Linked DNA regions of Arabidopsis thaliana. The protein of the gene in region 2 interacts with the protein of the main gene of each other region in a pairwise test. Each region holds a gene or a part of one and is shown on either strand. Other genes may lie near its edges.

Evidence for each region. Proteins that work in one complex are often made in the same cells at the same time.
Region 1: the proteins of ATWHY2 (region 2) and SEX1 interact in binary tests that used the Arabidopsis thaliana proteins (3 or more experiments, as listed by UniProt).

What each region holds. Positions count from the first base shown.
Region 1 is NC_003070.9:3,587,884-3,592,912, forward strand, and holds the start of SEX1 (Pyruvate phosphate dikinase, PEP/pyruvate binding domain-containing protein), read right to left. Parts: upstream 3,046-5,029; 5' UTR 2,993-3,045; intron 2,917-2,992; 5' UTR 2,542-2,916; intron 2,193-2,541; 5' UTR 2,161-2,192; coding exon 1,915-2,160; intron 1,712-1,914; coding exon 1,670-1,711; intron 1,583-1,669; coding exon 1,482-1,582; intron 1,389-1,481; coding exon 1,310-1,388; intron 1,192-1,309; coding exon 1,100-1,191; intron 1,001-1,099; coding exon 847-1,000; intron 428-846; coding exon 32-427; intron 1-31. Other genes in the region: AT1G10770 (Plant invertase/pectin methylesterase inhibitor superfamily protein), read right to left, coding at 3,976-4,479; AT1G10780 (F-box/RNI-like superfamily protein), read right to left, coding at 4,992-5,029. UniProt on the Arabidopsis thaliana protein: Mediates the incorporation of phosphate into starch-like alpha-glucan, mostly at the C-6 position of glucose units. Acts as an overall regulator of starch mobilization.
Region 2 is NC_003070.9:26,861,108-26,865,008, forward strand, and holds ATWHY2 (WHIRLY 2), read right to left. Parts: upstream 2,348-3,901; 5' UTR 2,285-2,347; coding exon 2,253-2,284; intron 2,165-2,252; coding exon 2,061-2,164; intron 1,987-2,060; coding exon 1,883-1,986; intron 1,790-1,882; coding exon 1,697-1,789; intron 1,609-1,696; coding exon 1,514-1,608; intron 1,431-1,513; coding exon 1,357-1,430; intron 1,149-1,356; coding exon 1,060-1,148; exon of another isoform or gene 868-1,059; coding exon 742-867; 3' UTR 550-741; downstream 1-549. Other genes in the region: AT1G71250 (GDSL-like Lipase/Acylhydrolase superfamily protein), read left to right, coding at 1-166, 252-475; POK (Vps52 / Sac2 family), read left to right, coding at 2,629-2,655, 2,756-2,850, 2,951-3,008, 3,181-3,276, 3,413-3,514, 3,670-3,753, 3,840-3,901. UniProt on the Arabidopsis thaliana protein: Single-stranded DNA-binding protein that associates with mitochondrial DNA and may play a role in the regulation of the gene expression machinery. Also seems to be required to prevent break-induced DNA rearrangements in the mitochondrial genome.

The DNA of each region.
Region 1 (5,029 bases), about 23 Mb from region 2:
AGAGAGCAAGATAGTGATGCTATCAACTGACCAAAATCGCACTGCCTTCAAGCTTGAATGTTTTCTTGCTAAAGACTGGAGTGGTTTCTTGTTCCTCCTTTGCTTTGGCGTATATCTCCAGAGTTGTTAAGGACCGTGGTTCAGATGAGGATTTGGATTCTGGTTCAACAAAATCAGCAACATGCTTATAGATAAGCTTAGTCAGGTCCCTTCCCTTGCGCTGGATCTTGTCAGTGTTATAATTTTTTTTACGCTCTGGTTGCTTGGAAACTTTTTTCTTTTCCTCCCGTCCACTGGATGATGTCCCATTAGATTTTGGGGATTCATTACTGTTATCTTTCTTCAACAGCTTTGCTCTGAGATCTTCCACTGAAGCACCTCGCATCATTTCCTCCCGTAGCTCCGTCCGGGCGGCTTCATACTCCTCCTATTGATCAGAGACAAATTATTCTGCTTAGCTATAAAATAATGGATTTACACAAAAATGCAGAGAACTTGATATTGATGCAACTGAGATATATACAGGTTCATCAGATAAAGCAACAAATATATTTTCAAGAGCCACCAGAGCCAACTAAAACGCTATTACCAAAAAATCAATCAAGAGCATTTTCAACTTAGCTAACCTATCATCAATTTGCTGATCAGTCCAATATACCAGAATCTGCATCTAAATCAAAATTGTTGGAAATTTGTACTGGTGATGGAATCAACTAAATGGCTGGTGAGAATCATGATTCCTCTTTATGTGAATTGTAGAACAACATAAAAGGTGAAGAATTTAAAAATATATGAAGAAAAATAATCCTTGAAGATATGCTTGTATAGGTACAACGTCTGACTGACCTTCTCTTTCTCAGGGTTGTACATTTGTTTACCCTTACGTTCCCATCTAAGATATGCTTGGATCTGTACAAGATCTTCAGGAACAGAAACATTTTGTTTCACATTCCTTTCCGTTGGTAAGTTTATATGAAAATTCTGACCATTATTTTTATACCTGCATATGTTTTAGATTATGAGAAACGACAAAAATTGTAAACAGAATTAGGTTCTCTGCTCAGGCTTAGTAAGTAAGAAGAAGCGAAAACAAGCTAACCATTTGTTCCGACTTTCGTCAAATATAAGGAACTCAATAGCGTGTATGGCAGGATCATCTATCTCTAGTTTAAGGTGAGAATTGCCACCGGACTGCAGATAAGAACTCAAAGCATCATTTGGAAATCTTAAGTTGTACTGGTATCAGCTGGAAATCATACCATCACAAGTAGCGCTGTAATGTACGTCGAAGAATGAATTCAAAGCTTACTTTCACAAATGGAGTTCTAAGCGCACTGTTCTTGAAGTTTTGAGTTCTATCCGGAGAGCGAGAAGGTAGAACCCAATTTCTGACATGGAAAATAAGAAAGATAGTTAACTATACCATGTGCCATAACAAGCTATTACCTAGGAAAGTTGAACATCACTAGACAAGGACATACTCTTTGTTGTCAAGAATTGCACCCCAGTGTAGGAACAATGTGTCACTTGTATAAGCTATCTGGATATTTACTTCTCTTACAGTTGTAGAAGTGACTTCAACCTATTCAATTACATTCATAAAACCTACCATTAAGTCTACAAATGCCAACAAGATAGAAATTTCCATTATTTGTAAGGATATACTTACCAGTAAATCGATATTTCCGTCAAGACTAAATTTCTCGGCTGCCTGTTAAAGGATGAAACTTTTTAGCACACATGTCGATAAAATAACTATCTTATGCATTCAATTGGAAGAACAATGCATATGATTCAGGTCAATGAAAAAGTTTTGGACATGAAACGTCTAACATACATTGAGTAGTTGGAACCAAAATATCACATTCCAAACAATGTCAATAGTGGTGAAAAGTAAATCCATAAGAAAATAACCTGAGGATCCATGGCAAGGACAGCTCGTGGAACAAATGAGAGAGGTCTTCCTCCTGTTTCAGTGACCAGACTGCGTCCTGCCTGCTTAAGACCTTTCCCGTAAAGTTTTGATCTGCCAATCTTGCCAAGAGCCGGATTTGCTGTTGAAGTTTGGTACACAGAGGAGTTGAGCTTGTTTTGATGTTCAAAGTTAAGAGGACGAATCAAACCCCGGTTAAGTAAGTTATGCACTACAGAGTTACTCATGCTTTCTTGTCACTGAATCAAACTTGCCGGATCTGTTAAGTAAAGTAGAGATTATATAATAAGATAATAAGGAAAACAATGAAGCTTTTGCAATAGATGAGAAAAAAAAGGAACAAGTTATACTATTTGTCTCAAAAAGAAGAATCTGACAGAGTTAGACAAGAGAACCACACTTGTTATTTTTATTTTATTTTCACTTTGTAGAGAAACAGTTACTTCATTCTGCGAATGGAACATGTGCAATATACACTAAGAAGAAAAGAATCGTCTTTTATAGTCAAAACGAAAATATCTATCAAAAGAAAATTTGCAATTTGAATCAAATAACAAAAACACCGAAAGCAATCGAAATTGAAGGTAAAATTCAATTGAAAAAGATACCTGATGATCGAACCGAGACGAAGAAACTGAATACAATGAGAGAAAGAGAGAAGATCCCAGAATTTGAATGATCTTATGGATGAAGTGAGTGCTGGGGGGTTTCTTCGCTCTTTGTTCTTCTTCACTCACTCACACATACATACACTCACGTGTAATCGAAGTAAAAAACGACACTTTATCCTTCGATTCCACCACGTGGCACATCGTTATTCGAGCACGTAGGAGGAACGGCACGGAGAAAGAGAGCCCAGTGATACGTTGATGGACGGTATCTGTGGACTCCACCTTTTTTTTTTATTTGGGTGATATTTTCTTATTATATACAGAATCTTCTCACCGTTGATTTTAGCTTTTTTTAATTTTTCTTTCTTTTTTCTATTTTCCTGTTTTTGTCTTTTTGTTTTGATATTTTTATGCTTCGTTCTCTTGTATCTTTTTTTTATTGGTCGACATGTTTTTTTTTTTTTTTCTCTTGTGTTCACAAACCACGAATTGCAGAAGATATTTTTGTTTATCTTTCTATTCTTGTAGTGATATATATCCCAAGCCCACTTGTTCAATCATGTCAATTATATCCTAGCTAAACCTTATTTGGTGTTTTTGTGTGGTGTTTCTTCTATAGAGAGTTTTACACATTGTGGAAAACAAAATGTATGTTAAATATAGAAGCAAAGGATAATTTTGTATAATGTTATGTGTGTTTATTATGGTCCAATATTTTTCAATCCAAATCAAAGCAATTCTCACTTTCTTAAAACACTTAAAGACATTGAAACATGATCATTGAGCAAGATCTATCAGTTTTGCATGAAAGAAAAATTATTGAATGCTTTTATGATCATATCAAACTATAATATACATACAGATTTTAAGAAAAAGAGTTAAAAGACCATTTTAAATGGCAATATTTTTATCCAATATATGATATAGCCAAATTATTTTCTCAAAGATATTTTTTTGTTATGGATCCTGGGAAAAGTAAAACATAATCACACATATACTTTCTAAAAACATCATAATGATATCCATATCAATAATGAATTAGTGATAGTAGTTAACAAAACAAAAAGTTGTGCATTACTATAGTTTGTGTTTGTCTTTGTCACTTATTGTTTTATTTTTCGGTCAAAACTTAATCTTATTGTTGATAGTGAAAAAGTAAAGTGGGTTCAAGAAAGGAGAATGGAAAACATTTCTATCGGCAAATTGTTGAATATGAAAAAATCTACTAGCGATTATTAATTACACGAAATTCAAATATAATTAGTTACACCCAGTGGCGTTACATACGAATGATGGATCAACAACAAACATCTCTCTCAAAACAAAAACAACAAAAAGAAACCCAAATTTTAATTGCTTGAGATTTTTTATTTCTTCAATTAATTAGTTTTTGTTTTGAGAAAAATTAAATCAATTGTTCTCTTAAATCGATCATCTAATCAATGTAGACAACGCCAAGCAATTGCTGCTAATTTTTCTCAAGTCAACCACTGCATTTTGGATCGCATTAACCTGTTGTGTTTCAATGAACCCGTCCACACATGCACCGTAATCAGACACAGCCGCAGTTAGATACGTGTTCATCGCCGGCACATCACGTTTCCTTATGCTCTTTCTCGCGCTTGCCAAATTGTAAACCGCGTCGCCCAATGTCTCGTAACACGTGCTGACCGCTTGGTTACCGTTTTTGAACCTAGCTGTTTCGGCTAGAGCTAGTTTCGTCTTAGCCTCCAAAGCTTGGATGGTTCGGTGCGTGGCTTTTCTAGGGCTCGTGACACGTTTCACCAGAGGTCGGCACAAAGATGGATACGCGGTGTGAGAGCAGATATTGATCATACGCGACTCCGCGACTTGACCAGCCATGAGAAAGATCAATACGGCGGCGGATGCCGCGACTGCTGCAAAACGCAGCTGGAATGTGTCGCGGCCCGCCATTTTATTGATATTTATTTATGTATTTGAATTGAGAAGAAATTATCACCAGGTCATTTTTCAATGCAGGAGTTAATCACGTTATATATAGACAAGTTTTTTTGGTTTTGAAATTGTTGGTGGTGCGCGTTTTGCGTTTTCTCGTTTTATTTTAATGTAATGCAATCTGAGGTTTATCTTGTTTTAAGGAGATTATCTTCTTTTATCTTTTTTAAGCATAGGACAATACTTCTTTGATACATAAGTATACTCCAAAAACAAACTTTATCATAAACTGTAATTATATTCTGCTAGATCACTACTAGTATATTATTAATGTAGATTAAGAAAACAAGAAAGCTAATTAAGAAATGTGTCCATAATTTTTCGTTTAAAAAACAATTGTCATAAGTTCATCATAACCATGAATCAGGAAACAACAATTACTCAAGAGTTCAATATAAGAAATGCTCAGCGACCAGAAAGAGAAACAGAAATCAAATGGCTGAAAATAAGATTAGCAGCAAAAAATTATTTCATTCTATATGAACAAGATGCTCGTTCATGTGCCGGA
Region 2 (3,901 bases):
CCACCTGATAGATGTGTTGACAGCGTGAATCAGATTCTAGGCACATTTAACCAAGGGCTAAAGTCACTTGTTGATCAGCTGAACCAGCGATCACCTGGAGCCATCTATGTATACGGCAACACCTATAGCGCAATTGGTGACATCTTAAACAACCCAGCTGCTTACGGTACACTTATTCTCGGATAACATGGTTGTCAAAGGAGTTTCTTCTATGATTTCTACTCTGATCAAACATGGTTTATATGGTACAGGATTTAGCGTAGTAGACAGGGCTTGTTGCGGGATTGGGAGGAACCAAGGACAAATTACATGTCTGCCGTTGCAGACTCCTTGTCCCAACAGAAATCAGTATGTCTTTTGGGATGCATTCCATCCTACTCAGACTGCTAACTCCATTCTGGCTAGACGAGCTTTCTATGGTCCACCTTCCGACGCATATCCTGTCAATGTCCAACAGATGACACTCCTTCACTAGTATATTTTGGTTTTCGTGTTTCTTTGAAGTTGTATGTTATAATGATTGAACCTATCTATCTATGAGTATCGAGTATCAAGTTGAAACCAAAATGCTTGTACTAAATAACATATGTGCTAATGAAAACAAGAAGACCCATGATTTAGAAGTCTTAGAGAGGACATATTAGTTTCAAAACAGAGCATGCCGAGTTTCGTGTGCACCAAATGCCAGAAAAAAGAACACATGCATTTTCAATTTACTCCGTTCCTACTACTCTCATCATTTCATTTATCCCACTCCAGCTCTAACTGTGGTTCAGTCTTTAGATGAGAAACATTCCTCGACGGCAGAGCTTCAGTATTAACGTGACCAGTTAACCGATTCCAACCCATGATGTGTGGAAGAGCAAACTGCACAAAATACAAAATCTGGTTAAAAAACAATCACCAATATCCCTTGAAGAATATATACTTGATCCAGATTCATGTGCTAAAACTGACAGAGAAGCAATGCCCTTGGTTTTTCTAGTCAATGTTTTTGGTTCTCGAACTGATATAATAGTAACAGAATATAGAGAACGCAGAATAAAAATCTTATCTTACACTAAAAGCTGTCTTCATCACTGCAAATTCAGCTTTTGTGACAGGAACCACAAAATAGTCATTGGTTTTGAGGATGCTATTGTTAACGCCTGCAACAAAACCGCAGAAGGTAAGTGTTTATACAGCATTAAGAATTCAGCATTCCTATTGTTATAAGACAGCTATTCTGTGCGAAAACTGTTATCGCCATATTACAAAACTAATACAAGTGCAAGCTTCTAAATTTACTAAACAGAAAGCTCCCATAACTAAGTATTTCAGTACTGATTATCCATGTTAATTTGATAGAAGCCTTACTCAATGAGATGAAGTAGCCGCTACCATCTGCGTGGGGCTTAACTGACAGTGACTTCCTGACTTGACCAGCATTACTGAGGAGTCAAAGACAAGTCTATGTCAGAACATGAAAATGCTGCGATAAAAATATAATGTATTGAAGCAAAAAAAGACAAACCTTGATTTCATGGAAGGGTCATGGAAAAACTCGGAGCTGTCTTTGGAACCCATGCTAATTAAGGATCCAACTTCAGTAGGTGACAAAGCAAATTTCTGCAATAATGTAGGAAACAAACCAAATTTATCAGAGGAGAAAGAAGAGACAAGTGAAGAAGATAGAGAGTGTGAAAAAGATCAATACCTGTTTCTTTTCCCAGTCGTACTTACGCTCACCAATAGCAGGCATAAAAGTCATCATTAAGGATCCACGACGATCTATCCGAAGATTTCCCGACTAAACAATTGTACTCACAGTAAGTAATGAGAATCTAAAAGAAGCCTTTAAAGAGAACACACAAAACTAAAAAGAAATGGATTTTGGGCTTACATCGATTTCAGTGAAACTGGGAAGAACAGGTTCAACAGAGAGAGCAGCTTTTCCTTTGAAGATAGAATAAGGTGCGAACAATCGACCACTAGGCTTTGCGGCATCTTCTCAAATCAAGCAAACAAAATTAGGGCAAGTACACTTAAACTGACGAAACGGAAACAAACCAAGTTCTTACCTTTACCAGGGAATCCACGTCCAGGGGTTGAAGAATTTGACCAGCTTGCAAAACCACGCAACGTCGAAGCTTCGAAAAGTGACTTACTTTGGTCACAAAGGCTCCTGCTTTAACAAAAACAAACCAACCCAGAGAAGCCATTTTAAGAGTAATGAAATCTAAAATCTGAATTTTGAGAGGAACTGAAGTAACCTGGAGAGCAAAGAGCGGGCTTGCTTCATCATCTTCTTCTGTCTCGAGTAAAAAGCATCACTTGAGGTCTTCCGACTTCTGAGGTTTTATGATTTATCAAAACGGGTTTTATCGGGCGACCCATATTTTAACCCGTTTGTTTTATATATAAGTCTTTTAACGGCCCAATGGGCCTTTATTGTTGATTGGGAAATTAAAAATCAGATTAGAGAAGACGAACGAATCTGAGAAAGGTGAAGCTGAAGAAGAAGAAGAAGAAGAAGAAGAAGAAGAAGAAGAAGAAGAAGACTCTCTAATGGCGGACTCAAACTGATTTCGAGGATTCTGATTTCGTTTTCTAGTTGAAGATCTTTCAACTCTTAATCTCATTAGGAAGATGTCCGACATTTCCATTGACGCATTGGTACTTCATTTTTTTTGCATTCGTGATCTTCTAGCCTTAATCATGGATCCTTTATGATCTCTTGTCTAATTCGCTTTGCTCTTCTATCTGAAATTCATAGGGCCAAACTATGGGGGACTTTAGTAATCATGAGAAACTTGGATTTGATTTAGGAGCATTTGTTGGAGACTTGGCTTTTGAAGAAGATTCAGGCAGGTAACGTTCTCATGTTTTGTATCTTAATTCGACTATAACATATGTTTCTGCTTCTCTTTGTTCTTCTGATTAGAATGCTCTCCTTTGATTTGTTTGGCAGTGAGGATATTTCATTGGAAGGGCTTCAACAAGAACTTGAAGAATGTGAAAGTGATGAGGTAAGTTATTCACTTAACTGAGATCAAACTTATAAAGCTAGCACCTCGGTTCTTCTTTTTCGAAGTATTGTTTCTACTCTCATTTGAGTTACTTTGGAGTACATGGATTGATCATAGAATGTTAGATCCATGGATATGATGTCCTTTCTATCTTGTTTGTGTGAAATGTCAGGTTGTTGCCAATATACTGTCTAGTGGTGACAAACTTAGAGAATATGCAAAAGGGGTTGAAAACAATCTACGCAAGGTTGAATTGGATTCAATCGAGGTTGTTATTCTCTACCTGTGCTACATTGTGGCACTTGTTGTTTTCTACTTTTTATGTACTTCCGTCTATAAGTTCGGGAATTTCTTTGATATCGTAAGTAACTAACTTAAATGCTTTACATTCCATGAATACTCAGGATTACATAAAGGAAAGTGACAACCTAGTCTCACTTCACGATCAGATTCGTGACTGTGACAGCATCCTGTCACAAATGGAAACTCTTCTCAGTGGATTTCAGGTATTTGAAAATTAGACATTTATATAATTTGTGTGTATGTATGTGCTTCTTTCTCCTTATTCTGACTTTTGCTTAATGGGAGGAATTTTTTTACTTTGAAATACATATATTTTTTCCTGGTAATCTAAATGTGCACTTTGCTTCTTTTCTTTCAGGAAGAGATTGGTTCTATAAGTTCAGACATAAAGATTCTTCAAGAAAAGTCAATGGACATGGGTTTGAGATTGAAAAACCGCAGGGTATAGCTAATCAGAAACCACTATTGGTATTATCTCTTGCTGCTTTCACTCGTGACTCATCCAAATGAACTCTTCTATTTGAATAGGTGGCTGAATCAAAGCTAGCAAAATTTGTCGAAGACATTATAGTGCCACCAAAGATGATAGA